3 linked regions of the Arabidopsis thaliana genome follow. The protein of the gene in region 2 interacts with the protein of the main gene of each other region in a pairwise test. Each region holds a gene or a part of one and is shown on either strand. Other genes may lie near its edges.

Evidence for each region. Proteins that work in one complex are often made in the same cells at the same time.
Region 1: the proteins of CPK1 (region 2) and ANNAT2 interact in a protein complementation assay, tested with the Arabidopsis thaliana proteins (one large-scale study listed by BioGRID).
Region 3: the proteins of CPK1 (region 2) and GF14 PHI interact in a protein complementation assay, tested with the Arabidopsis thaliana proteins (one large-scale study listed by BioGRID).

Annotation. Positions count from the first base shown.
Region 1 is NC_003076.8:25,972,167-25,976,249, reverse strand, and holds ANNAT2 (annexin 2), read right to left. Parts: upstream 2,447-4,083; 5' UTR 2,336-2,446; coding exon 2,260-2,335; exon of another isoform or gene 1,885-2,259; coding exon of another isoform or gene 1,854-1,884; coding exon 1,708-1,853; intron 1,601-1,707; coding exon 1,382-1,600; intron 1,294-1,381; coding exon 1,081-1,293; intron 996-1,080; coding exon 696-995; 3' UTR 554-695; downstream 1-553. Other genes in the region: AT5G65030 (nitric oxide synthase-interacting protein), read left to right, coding at 1-553; ASN2 (asparagine synthetase 2), read right to left, coding at 3,972-4,083. UniProt on the Arabidopsis thaliana protein: May mediate regulated, targeted secretion of Golgi-derived vesicles during seedling development.
Region 2 is NC_003076.8:1,416,019-1,422,288, reverse strand, and holds CPK1 (calcium dependent protein kinase 1), read left to right. Parts: upstream 1-1,734; 5' UTR 1,735-2,411; coding exon 2,412-3,324; intron 3,325-3,441; coding exon 3,442-3,585; intron 3,586-3,680; coding exon 3,681-3,833; intron 3,834-3,994; coding exon 3,995-4,110; intron 4,111-4,265; coding exon 4,266-4,433; intron 4,434-4,584; coding exon 4,585-4,809; intron 4,810-5,160; coding exon 5,161-5,274; 3' UTR 5,275-5,725; downstream 5,726-6,270. UniProt on the Arabidopsis thaliana protein: May play a role in signal transduction pathways that involve calcium as a second messenger. Phosphorylates the Ca(2+)-ATPase ACA2 resulting in the inhibition of its calcium activation.
Region 3 is NC_003070.9:12,865,548-12,869,413, forward strand, and holds GF14 PHI (GF14 protein phi chain), read left to right. Parts: upstream 1-1,578; 5' UTR 1,579-1,716; coding exon 1,717-2,211; intron 2,212-2,301; coding exon 2,302-2,424; intron 2,425-2,508; coding exon 2,509-2,625; intron 2,626-2,814; coding exon 2,815-2,967; 3' UTR 2,968-3,343; downstream 3,344-3,866. Other genes in the region: AT1G35150 (General transcription factor 2-related zinc finger protein), read right to left, coding at 1-262, 426-691. UniProt on the Arabidopsis thaliana protein: Is associated with a DNA binding complex that binds to the G box, a well-characterized cis-acting DNA regulatory element found in plant genes.

The DNA of each region.
Region 1 (4,083 bases), about 25 Mb from region 2:
AGCAAGAAACGTAGAGATCAAGTCACAAGCTAGTACTCTGTTCGTTAGATTCTATCTCTCTGCAGGACACAACAGAAAGATCGAAGTAAACACGAGAGAGCTCTCTTCGAAATCAGACCAACTCATGTGGGATCAATCTTTTGGTCTGGAGTGTCAAGGGGACGAAGCAGCTGTCAAAGAATTGAAGCAACAGAGAGTCGTTTTTGAACTACGGAGGAAGAAAATATCGACGTTTCTTAGGAAATCATCTAAATCTGAGGTTGTTGGGAGAGGAGAGGTTTCTTGGGAATCGGTTTTCGAGTCGCCAGGCATGGAGATTGAGAGACTTGTGGTGATGGGTGAATCCAAAAATTGGGTTTTGGAAGATGAAAGACCTTTGTTGTTGAAGATAGCTTTAAAGGTCCAAGCTTTAGAAGAAATGGAGAAGATGCTGATCAAGAATGACAAGAAAACAGAGAAGCTTTGTTGTGTGTGTAGTAGTAGAGATTGCGGAAGCTGTAGTTGCTTAGATTATGAGGCTTTTGCTTTAGTTTGTGCTTTAGATTGTATTTAAAAGAAAGAAAAACAGATTTTGATTCAAATTTAACAAACTCAAACGATCATTGATAAATAGTTGCAGAACCAGTTTCACAACTCTTTTATTTAAAACAAACCATGCAGTAAGAGAAAGGAGGAACTCGAAAGTTGAAACAGTTTCAAGCATCGCCATGTCCGAGAAGAGCAACAAGCATGTCCTCATAGTCACCAGAAGTGTCTTTGGCGATAGCACGGTCCAAAGGAATGCTGTTTCTTCGCTGATATTCCTCTTTGATGCGTTCCATGTCAACTTCAGTTCGTGTAGTCACGACTCGGGTTAGTCCCCATTCGTCTGTTCCCATTTTGTTGATTGATAGACGAAGAACCTTCTCAAAATGCTTCTCAGGGTATGTCAAACATGTGATTACAGCTCTTAGTAGTTTCATGTAGTCATTGTCGTCCGACTCTTCCTTCAAGTTCTGCAAAAATTTCACTTCATATAATAAGCTTTCCGAACAAGATTTTGTAACATCAAATGAAAAAGCAGTTGGTGGTTAAGCTAACCTTGTTAATGGCGTTTCCATACTCGTTGTTGTAGTGGTTGAGTGTTGCACCGAGCTGTGCTTTGCTTCTTGTTGTCAAGATTCTGATGAAGTCATCGTCACTGTAAGATTTCTCTGAGACCTTCTCGTGAAGTATCTTAGCTTCAGATCTTGCAAGCATCATGTTCACATCATCTCCTTCATACCTGAAAGTGCTCACAAGAGGAAGCAAGAGCTATACAAAAGAGGACACACAAATATGTCAGAAACATGTGTCCCAAATACAAAACAAACAAGCAAGATTTGGTTTATTGAATGATTACCTTACGAAGGTCACCAGATGTGTGTTGCGCGACATCTTCCTCGATTGATTTCTTGTATCGAGCTTGGTAAGCTTGCTTGACCTTGATAAGCTCAAGAGCAGGCCTTGTGCAAGCGATTTCAACAAGAACCCAATTGTTCTTGGTGAACATCTTGGTGGATTCTTTAGCCAAATAAGCATCTCTCTCTGGTGGATCAAGAGTCCACAACATCACAGCTCTCTGTTACAAAAAAACACCAAATACAACAGTTTCACAATCCTAAATCAGTCACTATATCATTTCAGAGACCCCCAAAAGAAAGAAAGAAAGAAAAGAGTTAAAAATACCTCAAAGTCGCTAGAAAGCTCTTTGTCTAATGCTTTGAGAAGATCCTCATTGTAGGTAGCTGCATAAACGCTGCGGATCAAGCTGCGTTGTGCTGCGTTCCTGTGAGCTAGTATTGATATGATCAGCTTCTCGTTGGTACCCCATCCTGTTTCAGACCAAACCCAAAAAACAAACATTTTGTCATGTCACAAATCTCCCAAGGAGAACACAAAACAAGCATAATCTTGGTTCACTAAAGAACAAAAAGAAACATATTTTCATTATAATCAATCAATTAGGACATCATCGGACTGTATCTAATATAAGAAGACATGATCCTGATCTTGTGGTGGGACACAGAACACAGATCAGGTCAAACAAGAGTAAATCCCGAATCACCAATGTAGTTGTGATTAAATCAACAAACTAAATAATACTCAACGATGAGTATAGGAGAGTACTTAAGATATCAAAAATGATTAATCTTGTGATTAACGAAACCGATTACAGATTAGAGATCGTATAAGAAGAAACTAAATCCCGATCAAGTGATGAAAAAAAAAGAGAGAGACCTGAAAAAGCCTTGTGGAGTTGCTCGGCGTCATCTTCGGGAAGAGGAACATTGCTTGGGACTTTGAGAGACGCCATTGTTGGGATTAGTCTTTAACTCTTAAGATCTCTGCCTCTGTTTGTGTTTCTTCTGCTTTGTAATGAGACGAAGCAGACGCACGTCGTCCTACTTAAGTAATGTAACGGGAATCCCAAAAATTTATTTAAGTTATTGTTGTAAGGTAAAGCATTTAATAAAGATAATATAAAATAATTGAATATGGACATATTCTTCTAATCAATATTTTGATATCTCTTTGATTTTTTCCACTTTTAACAGCTGATTTAATTGAAAAGAGGAAATATATATATATATATATATATATATTTCTTTTTTTTCCCCTTTTATGCTAAAATGAATAAAATATTTTAATTGGGTTTAATGTTAAATGAATCAAAGCTGAAAAAGTTTATAAAGTAATCCTAGCAAAGTAGCAATTATGCAAAGTATTTTTTTTTTTTCAAAACCAGGCTGTAATAAAGTTTGTAAATAATTCAAAAGAGATATTATACCAAATATCAAATTAAATTGTTTTTAAAACTAATAAGTGCAATTTGAAACTAATAAACAAGAAACTGCGAAAACCAACTGTGTCAAAATAAATAAATATGACTCAACATAAATTATTGACTAGTAGTACATTTTTAATAAAACGTGGGTTTGGGACTGTAACTTATATGATTCAGAATGTGAACGGGCTCATTTGACTATGTTTCTCAATAATATGTCCAAACAATTTATTTATTTTCGTGTGTTTGCAAAAATTCTAAAGGGAAAGCGATGATGATAATGAGTTCACACTTTTACTTAATGATGTTGAAAACTAAACTTAAAAATCATGATATTGGAACAGCTATACCTAGACCTAGAGAAACCGGTGATCGATATAAAACAATTATACATAAGAAAACGAGATTTTCATTTCTTAATTTCTTATGTTTGTTAATACGAAAACGACAGAGAGGATTCACGACTTCACGTGGTTGGCTCTTTAGCTAAATCTGAAGGGGAGCAGTTACTTCGTCTACTCAAATTTCATAAAATATAATTTGAAGGAAAAAAAAGTCCATACACGAGTAATGAGGTTAGGTCATCTGTCTTTTTGAAATAATAAATACGAATCTGAAAACTTTTATCCCACGTTCATTAAAAAACTTTTATAAGCAATGCGCGTAAGAAAAATAAAAATAGTAGATGAAGAGCGACTCCGCTGGGGATCGAACCCAGAATCTCTGGTTTCGTAGACCAGCGCCTTATCCATTGGGCCACGGAGTCTTACTTGCTTGACTTATGTGTGTACTAGATATATTGTACATATTATAACAAATCCTGCGTTGAGTAACAACAAACAAGCCAGAACATGCACAAAAACACATTGCAGAAAGGCCAGGCTTTGAAATCAAACAAGTTCGGATTCATCAAATTTAACGTCTAAGAAACTGAAGTATCATCTAGGGTCCAAGACTTGTCTAACACAAAAGAACGACAAAAAATGCAGAAACTTAGGTACAAATGTAGACAACGTGTATCACTTGCACTAACTGGAGATCCATGGAATCTCCAGCTAGAAATGGACGAAGCTTTTATTCATTGATCCCTCTAGAAGATAACGATCTCTCTGTGTAGAAGAATAAAACATTTGCTTATATCCTCAATGCCTGTAGTGTTGTTCTCTTATGTTCCATTCTTAGGAAGAGGATCTACTAAATCCGATCCAGCCTTAGCAGCAGCAGCTGCTTTATCCTCTTCATAAGCTGCAACATGAACTCCAAGAGCCGCACGGCCT
Region 2 (6,270 bases):
TAGGGATTTAAGTGCTTGTGATTGTTGAATTGTGGAAGAAAGGAGAGATTTTTCATGTTAATGAAACACTAGTACATATAGACGTTGTGAAGTTTGTTAGCCGTGATTCTATTGGATATTATTTCTGTACTAAGAGAGCATTAGCTAAAATTTCTGACAAGCTTAACTAATTCCAATTGTGTGAATCATTTGCATCATTGCTGATATTTCCTAACTAATATTATGAAAGGTTGAGGCTCGTAAGTTTTTTGCTTATGAACACATTTTTTCAAGGTAAGTTTCTCAATCTTCATGTTGTTGAAACATATGATTCCTAGAGTATCTCTACTCGTACCCCTCTCATAAATCATTGTGTTTAAAGCCGAGCATCTGCATGATATGTAAGGATCTCTTGCGGTTCTCTTCTTGAGTCTCCAAACTCCAGTTGAGATCCCTGGTGTTAGCAATATGGATTTTCTCGAGAATATAGTATTTGATGCTAGGAACAGAAAACCTGGTCAGCCAAAGATTGAGCCAATGTAGGTGTCTTCGCGCATTAGTCAGTTAGATGGTTTTGGACTGTTACTTAGTTGATGGTGCACACTCATATATCTGATATAGAATTGTGTTCATGCAGTTGGAGGATTTAGAGGTGGCGAAAAGAAGCATAAAGAGATTCTTCCATTTCCAAGCGCAACACATGATAAGAAAGGTGAGGGTTTTCTTACCTTATTTTCCGGTCAATGGAAGACACACACTTGAATACCGTCATTTCCCTTTCCCACACTTGTTCTCTATTAGTGTCATAAACAGAATGCCGAATAGGTTACTTTTCATTTTATAGTCATGACTAGGAAATTTTGTTCCTCATAGCAAGATATGGAAACAGTTGTCAATTTAATTTCGTCATAGTGAAAAGGATCAATCAAGGAACAAGTACGGAAAAGATTGAGAATCTCTGTAATAAGGATCATCTGTTTTTGGAGGTCCTTGGATGTTTACTTGATCAGGACGTGGCAGAGGCAATGAACAGACTTTTGTCACCAAAAAACGCTGTTGTGATGATTGATAATCTACTATCAGAACATACTGCACTACATCAAACCAAGTCTCATACACATCATAGTGAGCGTCTTTGCCACAAATCATATCTTCTTAAATACTGATTCAAACCACCATCTCTTGATAACAATAGTGAGCTTCGTTTTTGTTTTAGGCAAGCATTCTTTCCATATCAAATCAATAACAGAGTGTCCAGAGATTCATACCGTTCTATTGCAGTAGGGACATCTCATTGGCTTATCTACTGGAAAAAGGAAGGGTGCTTGAGTGTTCCGTTAGGACCAGCAAAAACAATGGAAAGTGGTGATCATGATGTTTAGAACACCAAACTCGCCGTCTCTACAATATTAGTTCTGGTCTAGGTTTTGATCTTCAATAATAGCTGTGGTCGGAAGGAGTAATTAGGGTAAAACATAAGGGCGAAGACAAGAATGTGTAGAGCATGTGATTTGTTCAAGCTTTAACATGTGGATGTCTTATTTTTAATGACTGCTCTTTAATATGTGGGTTTTGTTTGCGCATTTTTCACTTGCGGGTTATATTTTTCAAAAGTAGTAAATGATGGGACCATTATAAAAAGGATGTTATTAGGACTCCAGAAAGGAAATTGATTTTATGGAAAATCACCTTTTTACCTCAAAGTTTTAATATATTACTAATTAAGTACCCTTACATAAGAAGCTGCGTTGCCAAGATTGAAGAGGGTGGTGGACTTTGTAATCAAAGATTAATTAAAAAGAGAGTTAAGACAAATCTCAGCGGAAAACTCGGCGGTGATAGATAATCAAAACAAAAGAAACGCGTTTTTCAAACTGGTTCAATCTTCTTCTTCGTCTTTCTTCATCGTCTTCTTCTCTATACAGACCTTGACTCTCTCATTAAATTAACAAATGTCCCTACGGTTTATGCAAGTGTAGTGCTATTAAACTATCCCTTTTATTTTCCCACCCAACTCAATTTATTTTCTCATTCTTTCTCTTTACTCTTCTTCAGATCTCTCTGTTTCTTTCTTTGTTGTTGTTATCTGGGGATGCTTTCTACTCTCTGTTTGGTTTCCTTCATTGTGACTTTCTATTTTCTGGGTTTGTTTCAAGTCATGATTTTTCCGATACCCTTTTGATTTTTCTTGCTATTTCTCACCTCTGTATAAGCAAGCTCTCTGCTGTTTCTCCTCATCCAAGTTGGGTTTATCAGTTCAGCTGTGTAGAAATTCAATCGTCTGAGAAGTCCGAGGTTTGATGTCTGATGGTTTTAAGATCGAAAGGATTTGACTTTTATCAGATTAGTAATGAGATTAGATTGTTTTTGAGGTTATTGTAATCAGATCTTGATGCTATTTCTGGTGAAAGAGATTTAAGACAAGTTAGGGAATGGGTAATACTTGTGTTGGACCAAGCAGAAATGGCTTCTTGCAATCTGTTTCAGCTGCAATGTGGCGGCCAAGAGATGGAGATGATTCGGCTTCCATGAGTAATGGAGATATTGCAAGTGAAGCTGTTTCGGGAGAGCTTCGATCTCGATTATCTGATGAAGTCCAGAATAAACCTCCTGAACAGGTCACAATGCCGAAGCCAGGGACTGACGTCGAGACCAAGGACAGAGAGATTCGAACTGAAAGCAAGCCTGAAACGCTAGAGGAGATAAGCCTTGAGTCCAAACCAGAGACTAAGCAGGAGACCAAGTCAGAGACCAAGCCGGAGTCAAAACCTGATCCTCCAGCTAAACCTAAGAAGCCTAAACACATGAAGAGAGTGTCAAGTGCAGGGCTTAGGACTGAGTCAGTGTTGCAGAGGAAGACTGAAAACTTCAAGGAATTCTATTCCTTGGGAAGGAAACTCGGACAAGGGCAATTTGGGACGACTTTTTTATGTGTCGAGAAGACTACGGGGAAGGAGTTTGCCTGCAAGTCGATTGCTAAGAGGAAGCTATTGACTGATGAGGACGTTGAGGATGTGAGAAGAGAAATTCAGATAATGCATCACTTGGCTGGTCACCCTAATGTCATCTCCATCAAAGGAGCTTATGAGGATGTTGTGGCAGTGCACCTTGTAATGGAGTGTTGTGCAGGCGGCGAGCTTTTTGACAGGATCATTCAACGCGGTCACTACACAGAGAGGAAAGCGGCTGAGCTCACTAGAACCATTGTTGGGGTTGTAGAGGCTTGCCATTCTCTTGGTGTTATGCATCGAGACCTCAAGCCCGAGAATTTTCTGTTTGTCAGTAAACACGAAGATTCCCTCTTGAAGACGATTGATTTTGGACTCTCCATGTTCTTTAAACCAGGTTTGATTTCATTGTTACTCATCTTAAAAGATCCACTTCCAGATTTGGTCTTTAACGTGAATAGTGTGATCCTTGTCGAACAATTATTTCTGAACTCGATTCCCTTCCTCTTTGCAGACGATGTTTTTACAGATGTTGTTGGTAGCCCATATTATGTTGCCCCAGAAGTTCTTCGAAAGCGTTATGGCCCTGAAGCTGATGTCTGGAGTGCTGGAGTGATTGTGTACATTTTATTAAGCGGAGTTCCTCCATTCTGGGCTGGTAAGAATTGTATATATACAGATAAGAGATTTGTCACTTTTCCTAACTAGGCTCTGAACAACATCTCTAATCTTTTTGTTTCTTTGAACATTCAGAAACCGAACAAGGTATTTTCGAACAGGTCCTCCACGGTGATCTTGACTTTTCGTCCGATCCATGGCCAAGTATATCTGAAAGTGCAAAGGATTTAGTGAGGAAAATGCTTGTCAGGGATCCCAAGAAAAGGTTAACTGCCCACCAAGTATTATGTAAGTTATTTTGATCTGAAACCTTCTCTTCCAGTTAAAGCGCTGTGATTCTCTTTCTGTTAATTCCATTGAGCATAGATTTCACTACATGAATAAAGTGTGTTGTCATGTAGAGTGATCTACCATCGTTCTATCTCTTATGGAGTTGTGCTTCTTCTCAGGTCATCCATGGGTTCAAGTCGACGGTGTGGCTCCAGACAAGCCTTTGGATTCTGCTGTTCTGAGCCGTATGAAGCAGTTTTCTGCAATGAACAAGTTCAAGAAAATGGCTCTTAGAGTAAGCAGCTTTCCGATGCTAAACAAAATTTAAAACCATATAAAAGAAGTTCCTGTCATAAACATAAGATAGCTACATTTAACCCATCTTCCTCTTGTTATGTGGAAAGAAAGAGACGACGGAGATTAAGTTTCTCTCTTTATGCCTTTTTGCAGGTCATTGCTGAGAGCTTATCTGAAGAAGAAATCGCCGGCTTGAAAGAAATGTTTAATATGATAGATGCGGACAAGAGTGGTCAGATAACTTTCGAAGAACTGAAAGCAGGACTAAAACGAGTAGGGGCGAATCTCAAAGAGTCTGAAATTCTCGACTTGATGCAAGCTGTAAGTTTTAACCGGCATACCAGTTCCCTAACTAAGATTCTGAACTGATCTTGTTATCATTCAAACTTACTCTGTTGGTTGTGGTTATATACTTCTGTTTTTGCTAGATATGCAAGTAATCTGGTTTCTCTCTCATGTGTATATAATTCAGGCTGATGTGGACAACAGCGGAACAATAGATTACAAAGAGTTCATAGCTGCAACATTACATCTAAACAAAATAGAGAGAGAGGACCATTTGTTTGCAGCCTTTACATACTTTGACAAAGATGGGAGCGGCTATATCACCCCAGACGAGCTTCAACAAGCTTGTGAGGAGTTTGGTGTTGAGGATGTCCGCATAGAAGAACTGATGCGCGATGTTGATCAAGACAATGTAAGTTCCTTTACACCTTTTATCATCTCATCCTAATTATAAAATGACTTGAATACTTCTCAACAATGATCAAATTTCAATGGATTATATACATTTTACTCATAGGAATCTCACTTATATGATCCTCTTAAATCCTTGCATTATTAAAACTACACTTCACTTACCGAGTTTTCATGTCTGTTTTCTTGGGAAAACTGAGACGATTGAGTATGATTCTTGTTAAACCTAGGGGGATAGTAGAAACTCTCTTTCCTGAGAAACAGTGAAGTAAACCGAGTTTTCATGTCGGTTTTGGATTGATATATTGGTTGAATGTTGATAATGTTGAACATTTGAATTGTTGTATTGTAGGACGGGCGAATAGACTACAACGAGTTTGTGGCGATGATGCAGAAAGGAAGCATCACAGGAGGACCTGTGAAAATGGGTCTAGAGAAAAGCTTTAGCATTGCTCTTAAACTCTAGTTTCTCAGTCTATTTAAAAGTACAAAACTAAAGCCAAGAAGACAAAAGAGTTTTCTGATAATATATACCATTTTGATTATGTTGAAGACATATGCACACAGCCAAGATTCTCTCTTGCCCTCTTTTGGATTCTCTCAATCTTTTGGATGAGGTTTTGTCTTAGACTTGTTTTGGAAACTTTGTTGTATTGTGTTACTTCTTGAGCATATATAGTCTTCTAACATTACAAACCACGATTTCTTGTCTGTAAGTAAATTCAAAGAGTCAAAAAACTTGAACACGATTTGGAAATTTTGCGATAACGATCATCAAATTTTTGTGAGGGCTTTTTCTTGTAAAGCAAAAAGTTTGAGTATTTATGTGAAAATCGTTTAAAAGTTGAGGTACTTCTATGTAATTTCCCAGTTTTCTTTTTTTGAGAAATAAAATAACTTAACCGAATTTCAATTAATTTGTTGTCCGAATTATATAATTCAAGTCCTTACCGAATCTAAGCTGAAATCAAATTAAATTATAAGCAGATAATTAAATTGGTCACCGAAAATAATAGCCACCAAACCTCCTAATCCTAAACACGTAGTATTTTGAGATCTTTATTTTCCATTTACATAATTAATTTCTTTTTTATGATTGGAAAAAACGAATAAAATGATCTTTTAGCTAGTGTTTTTGGTCAACATAAATACCTAACTTACTCTTTAGAACAACAAAAAAAATGGAGGAAAAATATAAAAGTGGGTCTCACAATCAAGTTATTTCTCCAAAAATAAATAATTTAAAGCTTGCGTTTGTTGTTGACATTTAAAAATGTTTATTTTGGGGTACGACTTTTTAATTTATAAAATTATTAAATTGGTTTTATTTAAATAAACTGATTAAATTGTCTATTTCAAAACTGCGTCCCTATCCCTTTTAAATTTCCTAATTTCAGTCCACAAAACGTGATCATGATTACTGTATCATAAAGTTTTATTTGTGTAGGGGTCTAATTGTTAA
Region 3 (3,866 bases), on a different chromosome or scaffold from region 2:
TGCTAAATTATTTTTAGCGTGAGTTTTCACCAATGCAATGATCCTTAGGAGTACTTCCCTCCAATGAATATTATCTTTGTTTATTGCTTCTTGGGCATGCTTATCAATCGTTTTATTTTTCTGTAGTCTAGACTCTAACTCAGCTCGACGAGTCATACAAGTAATGTGATCATGGCTGCCTTTGTGTTCTTTGAGTCGCTTTGAAAGATTTCTCCAATCATTGTACCCGCTAGTTGCCAAGTAACCACCTTTTTTGTCATGTCTCAACAACTTACAACAAAAACAAAAGACTTTAATCTAATGCTTTTGAGTAAATCAACCATCTTCTATCTTGTTTCTCCCCATTCCTCATTTCTCTTATGTAAAATGTTTGAGAAAAATGCCTACCAATACTATCTTTACGAAACCGGTAATTAGTTGATAACCTTGTCGCTAGACCCTTTTCAACTAATAAATCTCTGAATCTCATATTCATGTCATCCCAATTTACTGGATCGGAAATATTGGAAGGAAGTTCTTCTTTCTGCCCACTTTTCTTCTCTTCATGAACAACTTCATCTTGATCTTTGTTATCAAACTCATTCTCATCCACTTCATTCGTCATCCAAACTGTCCACATTATTGTTGTTATCAAGCATCTGCTTGGAGGAGCCAATGTAGGCATGTGCTCTCTCTTCTTGTTATCAAGCATCTGCTTGTGATATTTTTGTACAATTAAGCTAACATAACTTTAACAAAAAAAATCTGTAATAATAAGTTTATATGTACAATCTAATTCCAACAAATCAAATACTAAACTAAATATCATTGATCAACTAATTTTTTTATTTCCTAAGAACATATCTCTTTAAAAGAATTGTTTGAAGTTTCTTCCATTAGAATAAGTCTTGTGAAAATTTTATTTATTACATCATTAAGTAAAACTTCTTTTAAATTAATAGGTTAAACAGTCTATATATATTTAGTTTTTTTTTTTGAAAAATAAAATAAATTGCATAAAATAAATTGGCACTAATTTTAAAATAAAACGTTCTAAAGATATTTTTTATACAATATATAATAATTAATAACCTAACAATTTCTTTCTTTTTTAACAAAACAATTTCAAAATTCAACTTAAAAAAAAAATTGCTCAATCAACAGAAATTACAAAATGCCAATATGGACGTAAAAGGTCCATTAAGGAATCAAAATACAACAAAGTAACTTTTTCCACATAAAAATAAACTAAGGGCATCTCCAACGCACAGATACAGTATGAGTTTCTCAATTCTATTTTTTTAATCAGTTAATAATAAATATATTATTTATTTAAATTTTATATTATAAAGACAAAATCTGACCAATCATAAATAACAAGGGGTTGAGTTGGGTTTCTCATAGTTTCTCATATGAGAAACGTTTCTCTTTCTTTCTCCACCTTTTTCATTACTTTTTATTTTTTTAATCTCCAGATACTCATTAAAAAACTGCTGTTGGAGATGACCTAAAAACCGACCCAAAAAGTATCAGAAAATTCCCGTGTACAAAATTTAATCCAACGGTCCTCCTTCCATCTCCTTTCGCAATCGTCGCTCCCCACTCAAACAAAAACCAAAAAAAACAAAACTATCTTTTAAACCCCAACAAAAAAAAAATTGAAATTCGAAAACAGAACAAAAAAAAAAATCTCTCTCAATCTCTCTCAGATCTGAATCCATCCATCACCGATCTCTAATGGCGGCACCACCAGCATCATCCTCGGCGAGGGAAGAGTTCGTGTACCTCGCAAAGCTCGCAGAGCAAGCGGAACGTTACGAAGAAATGGTTGAATTCATGGAAAAAGTCGCTGAAGCCGTTGACAAAGACGAACTCACCGTCGAAGAACGTAATCTCCTCTCCGTCGCTTACAAAAACGTAATCGGCGCTCGTCGTGCTTCCTGGAGAATCATCTCTTCCATTGAACAAAAAGAAGAGAGTCGTGGTAACGATGACCATGTGACCACGATCCGTGATTACAGAAGCAAGATCGAATCTGAGTTATCGAAAATCTGTGACGGTATTCTTAAGCTTCTTGATACTAGACTTGTTCCTGCTTCTGCTAATGGAGATTCTAAGGTTTTTTACCTTAAGATGAAGGGAGATTATCATAGGTATTTGGCTGAGTTTAAGACTGGTCAAGAGAGGAAAGATGCTGCTGAACATACTCTCACCGCTTACAAAGCTGCTCAGGTTTATTCTCCGATCTGGAATTTTGTTGGATCTCATTTCTAGGTTAAATCATGATTTGTGTGAATCTGTGTTTCTTTTGTTTGTTTGTAGGATATTGCTAATGCTGAATTGGCTCCAACGCATCCGATTCGTCTTGGTTTGGCTTTGAATTTCTCTGTGTTTTACTATGAGATTCTTAATTCTCCAGATCGTGCTTGTAATCTCGCTAAGCAGGTGATGAGAAAGTTTCTGATCTATTTGGGATTTGAGTCATTGTGTTGGTACTACTCTATGTGTATTGATATTGAGATATAACAGGCGTTTGATGAAGCCATTGCTGAGTTAGATACTCTTGGAGAGGAGTCATACAAGGATAGTACCTTGATCATGCAGCTTCTTCGTGACAATCTTACTCTCTGGACTTCTGACATGCAGGTAAACGATCGAAACGAAACCGTTCTTTGCTTCATCGAAACTGCTGATAATGGTTATGATAGAATAGTTTTGGAATTGTCCACCAACATAGTTCATTGCTGATAATGGATATGATAGATAGGCTTAGTGGCTCATGATGCTGGAATTGTGCACACACATTGTTCATAAGCTTTGAATCAGATGGTTTAGTTTTGCATTATGTATGATAATACTCTCATGAGCTTCTTGGTCTTGATCTCTGATTCTGTTGTGTTAATTTCGACGATTAATCAGGACGAAAGTCCGGAGGAGATTAAAGAAGCAGCAGCACCAAAGCCTGCTGAAGAACAGAAGGAGATCTAAGTTTGTGGTTTCTTTTTTCAGTATTCTTAAGTTATGCAATTATAATTATGTTTCTGCTTGGTGTTTATTTTCTAATCTTTCCTTTGCTATCCCCGAAGCTTCTAAGGCCGTCTAATTCTTGTCCTTTGTTTGCTTTTCTCAATCGTGGATGCTACTGGATTTCTGTTTTGTTTTACTTCTTCTCTTGATTGATTGCATTTCCCGGCTTATGCCTTGTACTTGAAACTCAGTTTTCTCTCTTATTAATGATTTGCCATTCACCTGGTTATGCGTTTTTGTATACATGTGACTGCGTTTGCAATTGTGTTTTCTGAGTTTGCTTAGGTTATGCACACACAATTTACGCTGTTTGAGAATGAGCGCTTGCTAATACTGATACAGATTATTACAGGAAACACTGACCTCAAAATTTGCGTGAATTTCGATGAGATTTGCGTAGGAATAACAAGTGTTGGGCATATAGGTTTGAATCAAATGGGACTTACCAAAGTTTGTATCAACCTCGTTCACCAGTTATTGTTTTGCAGACCTCAACCAAAAGTTAACATGAACGAGGTCAATACCTCTCAAAAGCTGATTAATTGATAGCATCACTCATAGTAAGGTAGAGATTAATGTTCAAGAAAACGTTAGGCGTTAATTGGGCGGTAACCCAATGCAACGCTTCATCGGGTCTAAACAGTTTTAGGCGGTTAAAGCGTTTATAGTATAAAATATTATAAATATGTTATTATATGTAAAAGTTATTTAAAACATAAATTAAAAAATAAAAATCTTAAATTTACAAAACAAAAAATAGATAAAACGTACATTAATTCATATCAAACAACATTTGAACATTAAACTATATATATGAAGACAAAATTTAACAAATTTGAATTTGAGTAATTAAAATTTGG